2 linked regions of the Oryctolagus cuniculus genome follow. The protein of the gene in region 2 interacts with the protein of the main gene of each other region in a pairwise test. Links are inferred from orthologs where the notes say so. Each region holds a gene or a part of one and is shown on either strand. Other genes may lie near its edges.

Region 1 (6,991 bases), on a different chromosome or scaffold from region 2:
CCTTTCCGTATCTTAGAAAATTTTTCCTGGTGAAATCCAACAGATAAACCGTGTGTAATCTTATTTGAACTATTGTGTAAACTCTGGAATGTGGAATACAGTTTGAAAAACTGCTGTTCCGTGTACAAGGGTATTTCAAGAAGTTTGTGGAAAATGTGCATTGTCTTTTTATTCCATTTTTCATGAAGTTTTAAAAGTGCTCTTATAGAAATTTTTAGGCAATTCTGTGCTGCATTTATCAAGTAAACTCGTAATTTGAATCTGAGTCTGAATATTTCCAGGCTTTCTTTGTTTCTAGGGCAAACAAACTCACTGATTAATTCAGTAGTTAAGAAAAGGGAGGAATGGAGAGAAATAGGTTTAAAAAATAGACCTTAAAAACAGTTTTGCATTGTGAATAAAGGTAAAATAGGAAGCTGTGGTAATTGTGAACTTTATATTGATACTGATTCCCTGGCTACATATTTATCAGTATTTCTGAATTTCCCTTAGTGTAATCGCTCCAATTCCTCTTCACCTGTTGACAAACTTAATCAGCAACCTCGCCTAACCAAATTGACTCGAATGCGTACTGATAAAAAGAGTGAGTTTTTGAAAGCATTGAAAAGGGACAGAGTAGAAGAGGAACATGAAGATGAGAGCCATGCTGGCTCAGAGAAGGTAATTGAATTTTTATTACTTGACTTCCTATTAAGATGTCATTAAAATATTTGGGCAAATATTTAGGACCATGAATTACTCTGATCGAATTTTCAATTTTCTGAAAAGGTCAATGATTTATATAAATATGATTTGCTTTCTAAAGTAGTTTTTTCTAATTATGTAGTTACTTTGCAAAAATAAGTGTTAAAATAAGTTGTCTTCATATCTCTTTCCTTCTGATTTCCCTGCTTTCATCCTGCTTGCCTTCTTTTTTTTTTTTTTTTTTTTTTTTGGTTTTTTTTTTTTTTTTTTGTTTTTTGCCTTTGTTGAATAGATCTGAAGACTTAGGACCAGAGAGGTTTGAGTATCCTGTTCAGCTTAGTTTTTGATTCCTTGATGAGAATGTTTCCTAAACCTAATGATAAAATGTATTACATTAGTGCATTCTCATTGGAAATCTAGCCATGATCTATTGAAGTTTTTAATAACTGTACTCTTTAGAACTCATTTTTTTTATTCCCTAAAAATCAGGATGACGAATCATTTAATTTGCATAACAGCAATAGTACTCACCAAGAAAGGGATATAAACCGAAACTTTGATGAAAATGAAATTCCACAGGAGAATGGGAACGCTTCGGTTATTTCCCAACAGATCATTCGCTCTTCAACCTTTCCACAAACTGATGTTCTTTCAAGTTCACTTGAGGCAGAACACAGGTTAGTATTTTTTACTTTTTTTCTGGCATTTTAAATATTCAGGATTTCTATATGGCGTTCTAGTGACTTATTTTTTAATAGGCTTCAGATAGGATTTATAATAGTGTAAGTCTCACCCATTTTAAGTGTACAGATACCAGTGATTTTTAATACATTCACAGTGGTGCAACTGCTACTACAATCTAATTTTAAAACATTTCTATCACTGTAGAAAAAAGTCCCAAGCCCATTTACATTTTCTCTTTGTTTCCACTTGGTCTTAGACAGCCAGTAATCTATTTTTGTGGCCATAGATTTGCCTTTTTGGCTATTCATATAAGTGTAGTCACTCAGAATGTGATTTTTTGTTCTCTTTCATCTTTCATTATACATAGCACATTCAAGATTCATTTGTGTTGTGGTACATGTCAGTACTTTGTTCCCTTTATTTGTCTTGAGTAAATACCTAAGATGTTTGATAGTACATATGGCAATTAAGTTTGACATTCTGAAAACCTATCAAACTATTTTTCAAAATGCACTGTTTTGTATCCTCATCAGCAATATAGAAAGTTTCAGTTTCTCACCCATACTTGGTATCATCTGCCTTTGCTTATAAGCTTTCTTGAGGGTATGTGATAATGCCTTTTTTTTGTGGTTTTTAGTATATATTTCTCTAATGTCTAACAGTTTTGAATGTCTTTTCATGTTCCTACTGGCCATTTATACATTATCTGTGGGAGACAGAGTTTCTAAAATACACTCACTGCCTTTTTAATAATTTTCATCAAGTTGCTAAGAGTTCCTTATTTTATGTATTTATTTATATTTGACTTAAGGTGACCTTTTACTTCCTCAGCCATCCCTTTAAAGGCAAAATGTTTCAGGTTTTTGTTGTTATTGTTAATGTTTGTTTATTTCTTTGCATTTACTTGAAAGGTAGAGTGACACACAGAGATTTTCTATCTGCTGGTTCCTAAATGCCTGCAACAATCAGGCTGGGCCAGGTCAAAGCCAGGATCCAAGAACTCCATCTGGGTCTCCCACTTGGGTGGCAGGGGCAATTTGAGCCATCATTTTCTTCTTCTTCTTCTTCTTCTTCTTCTTCTTCTTCTTCTTTTTTTTTTTTTTTTTTTTTTTTTTTTTGACAGGCAGAGTGGACAGTGAGAGAGAGAGAGAGAGACAGAGAGAAAGGTCTTCCTTTGCCGTTGGTTCACCCTGCTGATCCGATGGCAGGAGCCAGGTGCTTTTCCTGGTCTCCCATGGGGTGCAGGGTCCAAGCACCTGGGCCATCCTCCACTGCACTCCCTGGCCACAGCAGAGAGCTGGCCTGGAAGAGGGGCAACTGGGGCAGAATCCGGTGCCCCAACCGGGACTAGAACCCGGTGTGCCAGTGCTGCTAGGCGGAGGATTAGCCTAGTGAGCCGTGGCGCCGGCCTTTTTTTTTTTTTTTTTTTTTTTTTTTTTAAGATTTATTATTTATTTTAAAGAGTTACACACAGAGAGAAGGAGATGCAGAGGGAGAGAGGTCTTCCATCCTCTGGTTCACTCCCCAGTTGGCCGCAATGGTGAGAGCAACATCAGTCTGAAGCTAGGAGCTTCTTCTGGGTCTCCCACACGCGTGCAAAGGCCAAAGCACTTGGGCCATCTTCCATTGCTTTCCCAGGCTATAGCAGAGAGCTGGATCAGAAGTGGAGCAGCCAGGACTCGAACTGACACCCACATGGGATGCTGGCACTTCAGGCAGCAACTTTATCCTCCATGCCACAGTGCCGGCCCCTTCTTAAAAAAAGAGTTATTTTTTTGAGAGACAGAGTTAGAGAGAGGCATTCCACCTGCTGGCCCCAAATGGCTTTAACAACTTGAGCTGGGCCAACCTGAAGCCAGGAGGCAGGAGTTTTCTCCTGGTCTCCCTCGCTGGTGCAGGGACCCAAGTGCTTGGGGCTTCTTCAATTGCTTTCCCAGGCCATTAGCAGAGAGCTGGATCAGAAGAGGAACAGCAGGACACTAACTGGCATCTATATGGTATGCTGGCCCCACAGGCTGTGGCTTAGCCTACTACATCACAGCTCCAGCCCCATGCCATCATCTTTTGTTCATGGTCACTAACAGCTGAAAGTTTACAGTAGCTAATATATGGCAGGCTGAAAGTGAAAGATGAGTAGTTGTAAATAGGCATATAGAAGACCTCAGGAATGCAATTTTAAACAAAACTTTGTCAGACCAGTATGATATAAGTAAGATACAGAAACTCTGAGCCTGTCGCCGTGACTCACTTGGTTAATCCTCCGACTGCAGCGCCAGCATCCTGTATGGGCACCAGGTTCCCCAGTTGCTCCTCTTCCAGTCCAGCTCTCTGCTGTAGCCCGGGAGGGCAGTGGAGGATGCCCCAGATGCTTGGGCCCCTGCACCTGCATGGGAGATCAGGAGGAAGCACCTGGCTCCTGGCTTCGGATCAGAGCTGTGAGCTGTGCCGATCTGGAGCCAGAAACTTCTTTGAGTGGGTGCAGGGGCCCAAGGATTTGGGCCATCTTCCACTGCTTTCCCAGGCCATGGCAGAGTGGATTGGAAGAGGAGCAACCAGGACTATAACCAGCACCCATATGGGATGCCAGCACTTTAGGCCAGGGCCTTAACTTGCTGCGCCACAGCACACCCCCTCCCCCCCTTTTTTTTTTCTTCAAAATTGGAAGGAAAATGGTATAGCCATATTTGGCATTTTTATTTATATTCTCTATAATATCTGTTAAGTCATTTTTGTTACTGAATGTGTCTCAAATTGCATTATGTTGTGGATGATGCTTGTTTTGTCATGCCTATAAGAGGTAATGTTAATAGATTATAAAATACAACATAAGGTAAACTATGCCAGCTTGTTTCTTCATAAAGTAGAAAACCTAGTAAGTAGCTAAGAATATAGTAGAGTATGGTGGAATTGAAGAAAAAGAGGAGGGGTATTGCTTTTACTTTTTGTACAAGAATTTACTAGATTTTCTTCAGGTCTCTCCTATTATAAGTTTTCTGCCCAGAAATCATTTGACTGCAGATTGGGCAGTTAAGCAGTTTCTTTTTATTTTATTATCAAAATTTATTAGACTTAATTTTAACCTGTTTTATTATTTGCAGATTCTAGGCTTAAACTCAACATCTGTTGATATGTCTTAGAGACTTTGTATAATGGATCCTGGATCAAGTTTTTTTGCATATAATATAAATGGAATTTATAATATATATGTTATATATAAATATAATGGAATTTTCTACTCAGGAGAAGCTCTAAATTGAACTTAATTTCATCCCTTTGTAGATTGTTAAAAGAGATGGGTTGGCAAGAAGATAGTGAAAATGATGAAACGTGTGCTCCCTTAACTGAGGATGAGATGAGAGAATTCCAAGTTATTAGTGAACAGGTAAGATAAGCTGAATTATGCAAGTTTACTTTTAGATTGCCCTTCCATAAATAGAGGAGCATAATTACAAGTAGGCATGGTGTGAGGGGTGTTATAGTTTCATTTAGTAATTTGTTAGACATCACATAATAGATCATAATTGCCTTTGTTTTTAGACAGCTCTGCAATGAGCTTTAAACTTTTGAGTGTGCGCTACATAGAAATTAGTGTCTATAATTTGTCAGTTTTGTTTATTTAATTTTATTTCTGGCATGGGTGACAAGTAGAGAGCATCAATAGCTTTCCAAACATCTTCACCTTGCACAAGAATATTCCATATTCCAAGAGCATCTGGTTTTACTTCTCCATAAACACCTTCCTTTCCACTATTTTTTTATTTTTTGTTTTTTAATTTGAGAGACAGAGAAAGCATGTACACTAGCTTCCAACTGCTAGTTCACTCCCTATATGTCCACAGTAGCTGGGCCAGGGCAAACCAAATCCAGAATCCAGGAACTCGGTTTAGATTTCCATGTCTGTGACAGGGACCTAACTGCTTGAGTCATTACCACGGCATTTCAGAGAATGCCTTAGCAGGAAGCTGGAGTTAGGAGCCAGAGCTGACATTGAACCCTGTCATTCTAGTGTGAGTTTTGGATGTCTTTAACTGTTAGGGCAGACATCTGCCCCCATAACTTTCCTTTTCAGAGAATATTGGGAAATGTTTGCTAGAGCATCAGGAAGTTGAGATACTTTTTATTTTTTAAATTACTCTGGTTATACATCTCTTGATTTTCTATACGGAGACATTATAATTGATTTTGTTGATCTTCAAAGCACTTCAGAAGTGTTTTGAATCGGATCTTTGAAGAAATGAGTCATTTCTAATTTTGTAATACAGTGAGTTTGAGCATCTCAATTAAAAATTTTAAAGGATGAATGTAGTATAGTGATCATCCCAGTGTACTTTTTGAACTTTTTAAAGTTTTTGAAGTTAAAAACTTCACATGACTTAACCATTTTAACATTGTACAGGTCAGTAAGCATTGTGGCACTGTTAAGCAACCATCCCCAATGTATATCTGCATTTGTCATCTTCCCAACTTGAAACCTCATACTCATTAATTTTATTTTATTTTTTTTTAAGATTTACTTATTTACAGTTACAGAGAGGCAGAGGCAGAGCGAGAGGTCTTCCATCTGCTGGTTCATCCCCCAGATAGCCACAGTGGCCGGATCTGGGTCGATCTGAAGCCAGGAGCCAGGAGCCAGGAGCTTCTTCCAGGTCTTCCATCTGGGTGCAGGAGCCCAAGGACTTGGGCCAGTTTCTGCTTTCCCAGGCCATAGCAGAGAGCTGGATAGGAAGTGGAGCAGCTAGGACTCGAACCAGCACCCATACAGGGTGCTGGCACTGCAGGTGGCAGCTTTACCTGCTGTGCCACAGCGCCGGCACCCCTATACCCATTAAACAATAGCTTAACATTCCCTGCTGCACCATCCTTGGAAAGCCCCCAGTCTAGTTTTTATCTCTATGAATTTGACAGTTTTCCATAGCTTACATTAGTGGAATCATGTAATATTTGTCATTTTGTGATGGACTTATTTCACTTAGCCTTATGTATTTCTTCTCAAGGTTCATCCATGTAGCATGTGTCAAAATTGTCTTTCTTTCTAAAAAAAGCTAAATAATGTTACATTATGTATATATATTTATTTATCCATTTATCTGTTGATGGATACTTCGGTTGCTTTTCTTTTTAGCTACTATAAATACTGCTCTAAGGAAAGTAGTACAAATAACTGTTTGAGTCCTTGGCTTCAGTACTTTGGGTATATTATATACCTAGTAGTAGAATTAGTGGATCTTAGGGCAACTAAATAAAAATTTTTTAAAGATTTATTTATTTATTTGAAAGAGTTACACAGAGAAAGAGAGGCAGAGAGAGAGAGAGCACTCTTCCATCTGCTGGTTCACTCTCCAATTGGCCACAACGGCTGCCATTGAGCTGATCCAAAGTGAGGAGCCAGGAGCTGGGGCCCAAGCACGTGGGCCATCTTCTGCTGGTTTCCCAGGCCGTAGCAGAGAGCTGGATCGGAAGTGGAGCAGGCAGGACTCGAACTGGCACCCATGTGGGATGCCGGCACTATGGGAGGTGGCTTTACCCACTATGCCACAGTGCCAGCTCCAGTATTTTTTTTTAGACTTACTTATTTATTTGAAAGGCCGAGTTACAGAAAGAGAAGAGAAGAGACACACAGTGA
Region 2 (7,428 bases):
CGACGCAGCCTCCTGCCAGTGCACCTGGGAAGGGGCTCCGTACTGGGGCCCTGCCGCCCACGGGGGAGACATGGCCTGTGGCTGTTCTCTGGGAAGTGAACCAGATCTCTCCCTTTCTCTCTCTCCCTCTTTGTAACAGCCTTGCAAGGAAATAAATCTTAAAAAAAAAAAAGAACAAAGAAGCATTTTCACTTCTCTGGGCTCAGGCCACAGCAAATTTGCCACAGATCGAGCTGTGGCTGTGGTCACTGTTGTGGGCAGAGAGGGACAGGAGCTGAGGTCTGGCAGCTCCCTCCCCTTTCAGTGTGCTGTGGAGCCCCGCCCCTCCAGGTGGCCCCGCTCCCTGTCGTGGGAACTTGGCACCCTTGCTGGCTGGAAGCCCTCAGCATGGCTGCAGGATGTGTCCCCTCCCAAGTGCTTTAGGTCATTATAATAAAATTACCATGGGGCACGCCCACTCCCACCCTGCTCCTGATACGGTGTCCCATCTCCTACAAAGGGCGTGGAAATAGCCCCACGCCCCACCCCAAACCCCGCCCTCTTTTGAATATTCACTTTCTTAAATGGGGGCCACTGCAGGGCCGCAAGAGTGCGACCCTCTTGTCCTTGTCCCGGTCAGCAGCTTGGTCACACTGGGCTGAAGCACCCGCACTCCCGCCCTTCGGGGTGGGCTTCCTGCAGAGGTGTGAGCCCCTCTGCTGCCTGCTGGCCATCACCTTGGAGCCACCTGTCGAGGCCACGGGCTGGGAGCAGGGCCTCTGGGTCCTTGTCCTGCAGTGCGGACCCAGCCTTCATGGCTGAGCACTGCAGACAGTGTGAGGGGCTTGCCGGCCGCTGGCCACAGAGGGCACTGCACAGCATCCTGGCCTGCACTGTGGACCCCCAGGGTGCTCTCTGGTGTGAGGGGACCGTGCGGGAGGCTGACGTGGCCAGCTTCTAGCCAGCAGTGGGGCACTGGACGTGGAGTCCTGCCTACAGGGCGCCGTGCGCTGGACGTGCCTCGCCATCTGCCTCTTGGTCTCCACGTCGAAGGGCAGTGCGCGGTCTGCCTGCACCTCGTGTCTTCTGTGGTCTGCTTGGACCCCCCGTTGTCCTATGGGAGGCAGCCGAGGAGATCCAGGGCCCCCAGTGCCTGTCCACGAGCTGGACAGGGACTGTGCTGGGCGCTGTGGCTGAGTTCCTGGTCACGGCACCCAGCAGCCGCCAGCTCGAAGCTGCCCCCAGCGTTGCACCTGCCCCACTCCCGGCACAAAGCCCCCTCCAGGGAGGCAGGTCCAGCTGGCCACCTACACCGAGACCACGGCTGGATGGCGGCTCCATTGCCGCGACAGGCACCCCTCACCGGCTCCCAGAAGGCCTTGGGCCATCCCCACACCCTGGAAGGACACAGGCCGCAGAGCAAGCTCCTGGTGCGCCGGGGCAGAGCCCAGGGTGCAGGTGTTGCCGCCGGCTGCTGAGCCCCGTCCACGCGCGCTGGCCGCAGCCGGGACCAGTGGGGACTGAGCAGGCTCAGGAATCTTCCAGGCCTTGTGGATCCTGAGGGAACACAGCCAGGCTCCGGGGGTGTGGGCTCAGGGCTGGGGGAGGGTGAAGGAGGGGCCCTGGCTCCCGCCCCTCACATCTGAGCACCTCCTCTCCCGCTGCTGGCGGCCAGGGGCAGGTGCACAGATTCCTCCATGTGGCTTCTCCCAGGATGGCTGGTGACAGGGGCTCTCAGGGTGGCTGTTGCTGGGAAGTGTGGGGGCAGCAAGGGAACCCCCAGGGCTCAGGGCACTCCTGGAGCCGGTGTCTGCTGCTGGGAAGGGCCACAGTCCAGCCGGTGGCCAGGGGCCTCCCTCAAAGAGACAGCTCTGCTTCTGCCAGTCCCAGCCATCGGCCCTGAGCCGTGGGACAGATGGCCCGGGCAGGCAGACTGCCAGGGCACCTGCCCCGCCCCCACCACTGACCAGAGGAGCAGATCCCCTCCCAGGTCCAGTTGTCAGAGCCAGGAGGCGGGCCTGTCTGATGCTGGCAGCTTTTACAAATCACAGTCTTCTCACAGCGCGCAAGACCAGGCACAGACCTGTTACAGAGCTCCACTCCCTTCCGGGTGTGCTGACGTCTGCCGGGGGGGAGGGGGCTGGGGCAGTGGGGGCTGTGGGCAGTGGGGGGCAGTGAGGGGCGGTGGGCAGTGGGGGCTGTGGGCAATGGGGGGCAGTGAGGGCTGTGGGCAATGGGGGGCAGTGGGGGGCAGTGAGGGCTACGGGCAGTGGGGGGCAGTGAGGGGCGGTGGGCAGTGGGGGCTGTGGGCAATGGGGGGCAGTGGTGGGCAGTGGGGGGCATTGAGGGGTGGTGGGCAGTGGGGACTGTGGGCAGTGGGGGGCGGTGAGGGCCGGGGGCAGTGGGGGCTGTGGGCAGTGGGGGCAGTGGGGGCAGCAGCTCAGGGACGTGGGTTCCTGCCAGGTATCTGGTTCCCAGCTCTCGCCTGGTGCAGCCCTGGCTGTTGTGGGCATTCAGGGAGCAAGTCGACAGGTGGGAGAGATCTGTCTGTCTCTCAAATTCAAAAAAGGAAGGAAGGAAGGACGGCCAGGGCTCGGTTCTGGTTCTGGTTCCGGTGGAGGGACAGGGAGGCAGAAGCGCGGATCGGGCCGAGGCCGCCCTCCGCCCTGGTGGGGGTTCGGCCCCCAGGCTCTCTGCATTCATACGCGTCTTTATTAGTGCATAAATACTAGAAAATCATCTGTGGAGGGTGCGGCTCACCCGGCCGACTGGGGGCCCGGCTTGGTGTGCAGGGTGAGGCTGTCCCGCCAGGGCTCGTACACCAGCGTGTAGCTCTCGGCCCTCTTGATGGTGAACCTGTAGGAGCGGCTGGGCAGCAGGTTGCGGACGGCGAAGGCGCAGGCGGCCACGGGGATCACGCCGCCGTGCGTGCGCTCCTGCTGCGTCCGCGGCTCCAGCAGCTTGAAGCGCAGCTCGAACTGCTCGGGCGCCGCGGGCTGCAGGGTGACGAACCAGCGCAGGCTGGCCCAGTCCTGGTGGGCCACCGACTCCTTGCGGTCGAACATGACCGGCGTCTTGGTGCTCAGCATGAGCCGGATGTGGGGGATCTTGGTGGCCCCGATGTCGGACACCAGGCGGTGCTTAATGTGCAGGCGCCCGGGCACCATGATGGCCAGGAAGCTGTCCATGGTGGCCGACAGGTCCGTCAGCCGCTGCTCCACCAGCGCCCAGCCGGCCAGGAAGGGCCGCGGGTCGGGCGACTCCAGCAGGGCGTCCAGCACGGCGCGGCCGCGGTCCAGCTGCTCCAGCAGGTCGCCAAGCAGCAGCAGCTGGATCTTGGTCTGCGCCGTCCCCACCTTCTTCATGCGCTGGAACTTCCAGGGGTCGATGAGCTGGAACATGGCGCTGGGCAGCACCAGCGGGTTCTGGTCGCCCAGGGCCAGGTGCTTGGGGAGGACCTCGATGTAGTAGGAGCACTTCCGGAGCAGCTGCACGCGCGCGTGGTGGCGCTTCAGCAGGTGGGGGCTCAGGTCCGAGGCCAGGAACTCCCGCAGGGCGTTGCGGCGTTCCACGTAGGTCCTCCAGGCCTCGGGCTCCAGCAGCTGCTGGTCCTCGGCCTCCTCCGCCTCCTCCACCTCCTCCTGGTCCAGGCAGGACTGCGGGCTGTCCAGCTTCATCTTGTCCAGGCCCAGGCCCCTCACCTGGAAGTTCATGGCTGGGAGCTGGGGGAGGGGGCAGAGGGCCGCAGGTGAGCCGCCACCAGGCCGCGCACACGGGCGGCCTCAGCGAGCGAGGGGGTGGCTCTGGGCCCGCACCCTTCGACTCGGACTTCTGTCCCCCACGCTGGTCTGGGGAGGGCTGCCTGGCGGACCCAGCAGCCAGACGCAGGGCTGGACGACAGCGCGTGCCGAGGGGCCGGCTGTCTCCCGTGGGGACGACGTGGGGCTCAGAGTGGGCTGTGGATGCTGCAATGGCTGCCGCCCAGCCGTGAGGCCCTGGTCTGAGGCAGGGTAGCGTCAGCCTTGGTCCCGAGAAGCATGGACCCCCGGGGGGGCACCTGGGGAACACCCTCCCCACGGGTTCTCCCTGGGCACCCCCACGCCTCACCGCTTACAGTGCAGAGGGACCAGGGCTCCGCCAGAGGCAGGTGGGGCGGGTGCAGGAGCAGGAGTCCAGGCCCCCACTCTGAGAATACTCAGGCTTGCTGCTCTCGGGGTGCTGGGGTCCAGTGACCGAAGGTCCCACAAGGGGCAGACCCATCCCTCATCTCACAGATGGGGGCCTGAGGCTAAATCGCTTGGTGGCTTGCTCTTGTCCAGGGTTGGAACCCAGCCACCACGCCCAGCCCCACAGTCTGCCCCCTCCTCCCTGTCCCCAGGCCCAGGGTGCCAGCCCTGGGAGTCAGTGGGAGAGGCCGGTGCAGCTGTGGTCCCTGGCCCCGTGCGGGGCTGGCCCTGCAGCCCGGCATCCAGGAGCCACCCTGGGCCCGGGGCCCCCAGGGCTGAAGCAGCCCCCTGAGCAGGGCCATGGGCTTCGGGGGCGGGGAACCTCAGGCTGTGACCCCTGGCTGGTTGGGCGTGTTAAAAGGGAGAGACCGAGCCCCAGGAGCTCGCCCAGGCCACACAGGTGCTGGTGGGGGGGAGCAGTGCCCGCCCCCTGTTGGCTGTGACCTTTCTGGGGCAAGGGTCTAGATCAGGCTGCCGGGACCACAGGGGGCATCTCGGGGTGGAGGACAAGCTGAAGCCAGAACCCAGCGCCCAGGCCTGAGTCCACCCTAGACGTTTCCCTCCGCGGAAGAGAACCTGGGCTGGCAGTGAACGGGGGCAAGGCTGCTGGGAGCGCCCCCTCCCCAGGCCTCTCGGCAGACCCCACCCTCACCCTCCTCCCGCCCACCTAACCGCCCCCCCTCCCCGCCCCCGCCGCCGCCTCCTCTGCCGTCCCAGCGCCGTCCAGGCTGAGCCCACTTGCCCTGCGTCGCGAAGCCCAGCTGCTCAGCCACTTGCCCAGTGCGCGAGGGGGGACCCAGTCTCGCGCCTGCCGGCCAGTGGGTTGCCAAGAAACCGCGGGCCCTTGTGACGCCCCGCCCGGCCAGGTGGGGGGGCGGGGTGCCGGGAGACCCCGCCGCGGAGGGTCGGGGGAAGCCAGGGACCTGAGGGGCGGAGCGCGGACTGCGCAGGGCGCAGAACCCGCCCACCGGCTCCACGGGACGGCTGGACTCAGGGTCTTCGCTTCCGTCGCTAGGGAGCGCGGGGTCGGGTCCGCGCCCTTCCTAGGAGGCCCGAGGCCGCGGGTCCGAAAGCCGGGCTGAGCCAGCCGAGGCTGGCGGCCCCTTGGGCGGAGAACCCCTTTGGGCGGAGACCTCCTTGGGCGTCCGTCTGCGCACCGCGCTTCCCCTACGCCCCGGGGTTAGGGGCAGGGGCTTCCGCTCGACGCCCACTCGTGCGACCTCGACGGACTTGGGGAGGGAGCGACCTGCGAACCCTCGCGGGCCGGGGTGACCTGGCGGGAGGGCCCGCTCTGCAGGGGCTCCTCCGAGGGGTCCTCGGGCCCTTGTGTCCCATGCGTGTGTACGAGCGCGCTAGGGACCTCCGGAGTGCCCAGCTCGGGGTCTGCGCCCAGCGGTCCGCCTCAGCCACCTTGCCAGGAAGGAGGAGCAGGGAGCCCCTTCCCACCCGCGGCCTCCCCTGCCGAGAGCTAAGTGGCTCGACTCCCTCCTTTCCTCCCCCATTCCTGACTGTGATCCCAGCCTTGGGAGGGGGCTCCCAGAGTGGACCCCTGTAGGCCTGTACCCCACCCCCAAGCCAGAGCAGGCCCTGAAAGCGGGGCTGGGGGTGTGTGACTGCCCCTTGTCCGCCACCCAGCCTGGGCGCTCAGAAGGGCTCGGTAGATCACGCCCAGTCCTGGGCCTGGGTGGGGGGAGACCCCACTCCAAGCTGCAGCCCACGGGGAAGGGGCTGGCAGACCTGACCTCCTCCCTGGTCCCACAGCCCCCTCCTCTGTGTCTGACTCCCCAGAACCCCGGAGCACGGTTGCCAGCCTCAGCCTCATACCCAGGAAGCCCCCTCCTCAAAGCGCCGGGTCCCTGGTGTCCTCCGGGCGCTGCAGGCTCTGTGGAAGCCGGGGAGACAAGCTGCAGAAAGGCCCACGGTCAGGGGTGGGTTCCCAGCCGGGGCCGCCGGCCGGTCCCTCTGCGTCCCCGCCGGGGCTGTCTCAGTGGTTGGGGCCGCCGTGGGGCTGAGGCTGCGGTGTCTCCGTGTCTCCGTGTCTCCGTGTCTCCGTGTCTCCGCGGCATCGCAGGAGGAGGTGAGGCAGGTGGAGCCCAGCTGGAGGCACAGGGCAGTGGGGCCTTCATCTGGGGCGTGGGGGGACTGCAGGTGCTGGGTGGGGGAAGGGCTGAGGAGGGGCTGGGGGGTGCTGCTGGGCAGTCCGGCAGGAGGCCCGACCCCATCGCTCCAGGCCTCCCTCCTTGGGGTGGGGGACTCTGGGGCCCCCAAGTGGTTTTTCAGGAGACATTGTTTTAGAAAGATTAATTAGAAATTAATTAATAGGAGAGTCAGGGTGTGTGGGGGTGGTGGGGGCGCAGCTAGGTTTTCCATCCGCTGATTCACTTCCCAGGCCAAAGCCAGGAGCCAGGAACTCCATCCAGGTCTCCCATGTGGGTGGCAGGGCCCATGGGTCATTCTCGCTGCCTTCCCTGGTGTTGGCAGGGAGTGAAGTGGAGCAGCCCCGGCCTGGACGCCCAGATGCATGGCGACTGCCTGGCCTGGTTTCCTACGGGAAAGCATCCCTGTCCGACTCTGGTGGGGGGGCGGGGACGGAGCCTCGCTGCTGCATCTCAGGAGGAGGGAACTCCCACCCCCACCATGGGGCCTTGGCTACGGGCAAGGCTGGACGTCCACCATGCCAGGTCCCCATGTTCTCGGGAGACCTGGGGACAGGTGTGGGGCAGGGAGGGTGGCTCAGGGCTGGCCTGGGCTCCAGCTGCAGATGGTGCTGAGTCCCTGGGACCTCGAGGGCCTGACCCCACTGCAGTCAGCACTGGGAGTGCCCACTCCGGATGGCCGGCTTCCCAGGGCTGGGGGGCAGTCAAGGCTACAGCTGCATGCAGAACCCACGCTGGCTGGTGGCCTCCCCTCCCGTGGTTCTCCCCTCTCTGCCTGAACTCCACGCCCAGTAGGATGCTCCACAGCCCTCAGCCTGCCTGGAGCTGGGAGGCCGGCAGTCCAGAGCCGCGCCTCTCTGCACTGGCCACTGGGCATCTCCTGGCCCGGAGCGGCCCAGAGGGCACTTTGCATCGTCCCCGGAGCACCGGTCTGGGTTGCCTAGGAGCCGCCTCTGCTGAGCCCCTGTGTGCCACGTGCCTCTGCCGGGCGGGGGTCTGCCCTCTGCCCTGCACAGGAGTCTGATGAGCGAGATTTGGCCGCCATTCAGATGGTCCTGGGGCCGCTT

The links.
Region 1: the proteins of FNDC11 (region 2) and GPBP1 interact in binary tests that used the Homo sapiens proteins (3 or more experiments, as listed by UniProt). The link is inferred for Oryctolagus cuniculus from reciprocal best matches to the Homo sapiens genes FNDC11 and GPBP1.

Annotation. Positions count from the first base shown.
Region 1 is NC_091445.1:77,922,232-77,929,222, forward strand, and holds part of GPBP1 (vasculin), read left to right. Parts: intron 1-492; coding exon 493-660; intron 661-1,173; coding exon 1,174-1,361; intron 1,362-4,647; coding exon 4,648-4,750; intron 4,751-6,991. UniProt on the Homo sapiens protein: Functions as a GC-rich promoter-specific transactivating transcription factor.
Region 2 is NC_091442.1:427,219-434,646, forward strand, and holds FNDC11 (fibronectin type III domain-containing protein 11), read right to left. Parts: upstream 5,105-7,428; 5' UTR 4,983-5,104; exon of another isoform or gene 4,948-4,982; intron 3,702-4,947; 5' UTR 3,693-3,701; coding exon 2,736-3,692; 3' UTR 2,674-2,735; downstream 1-2,673.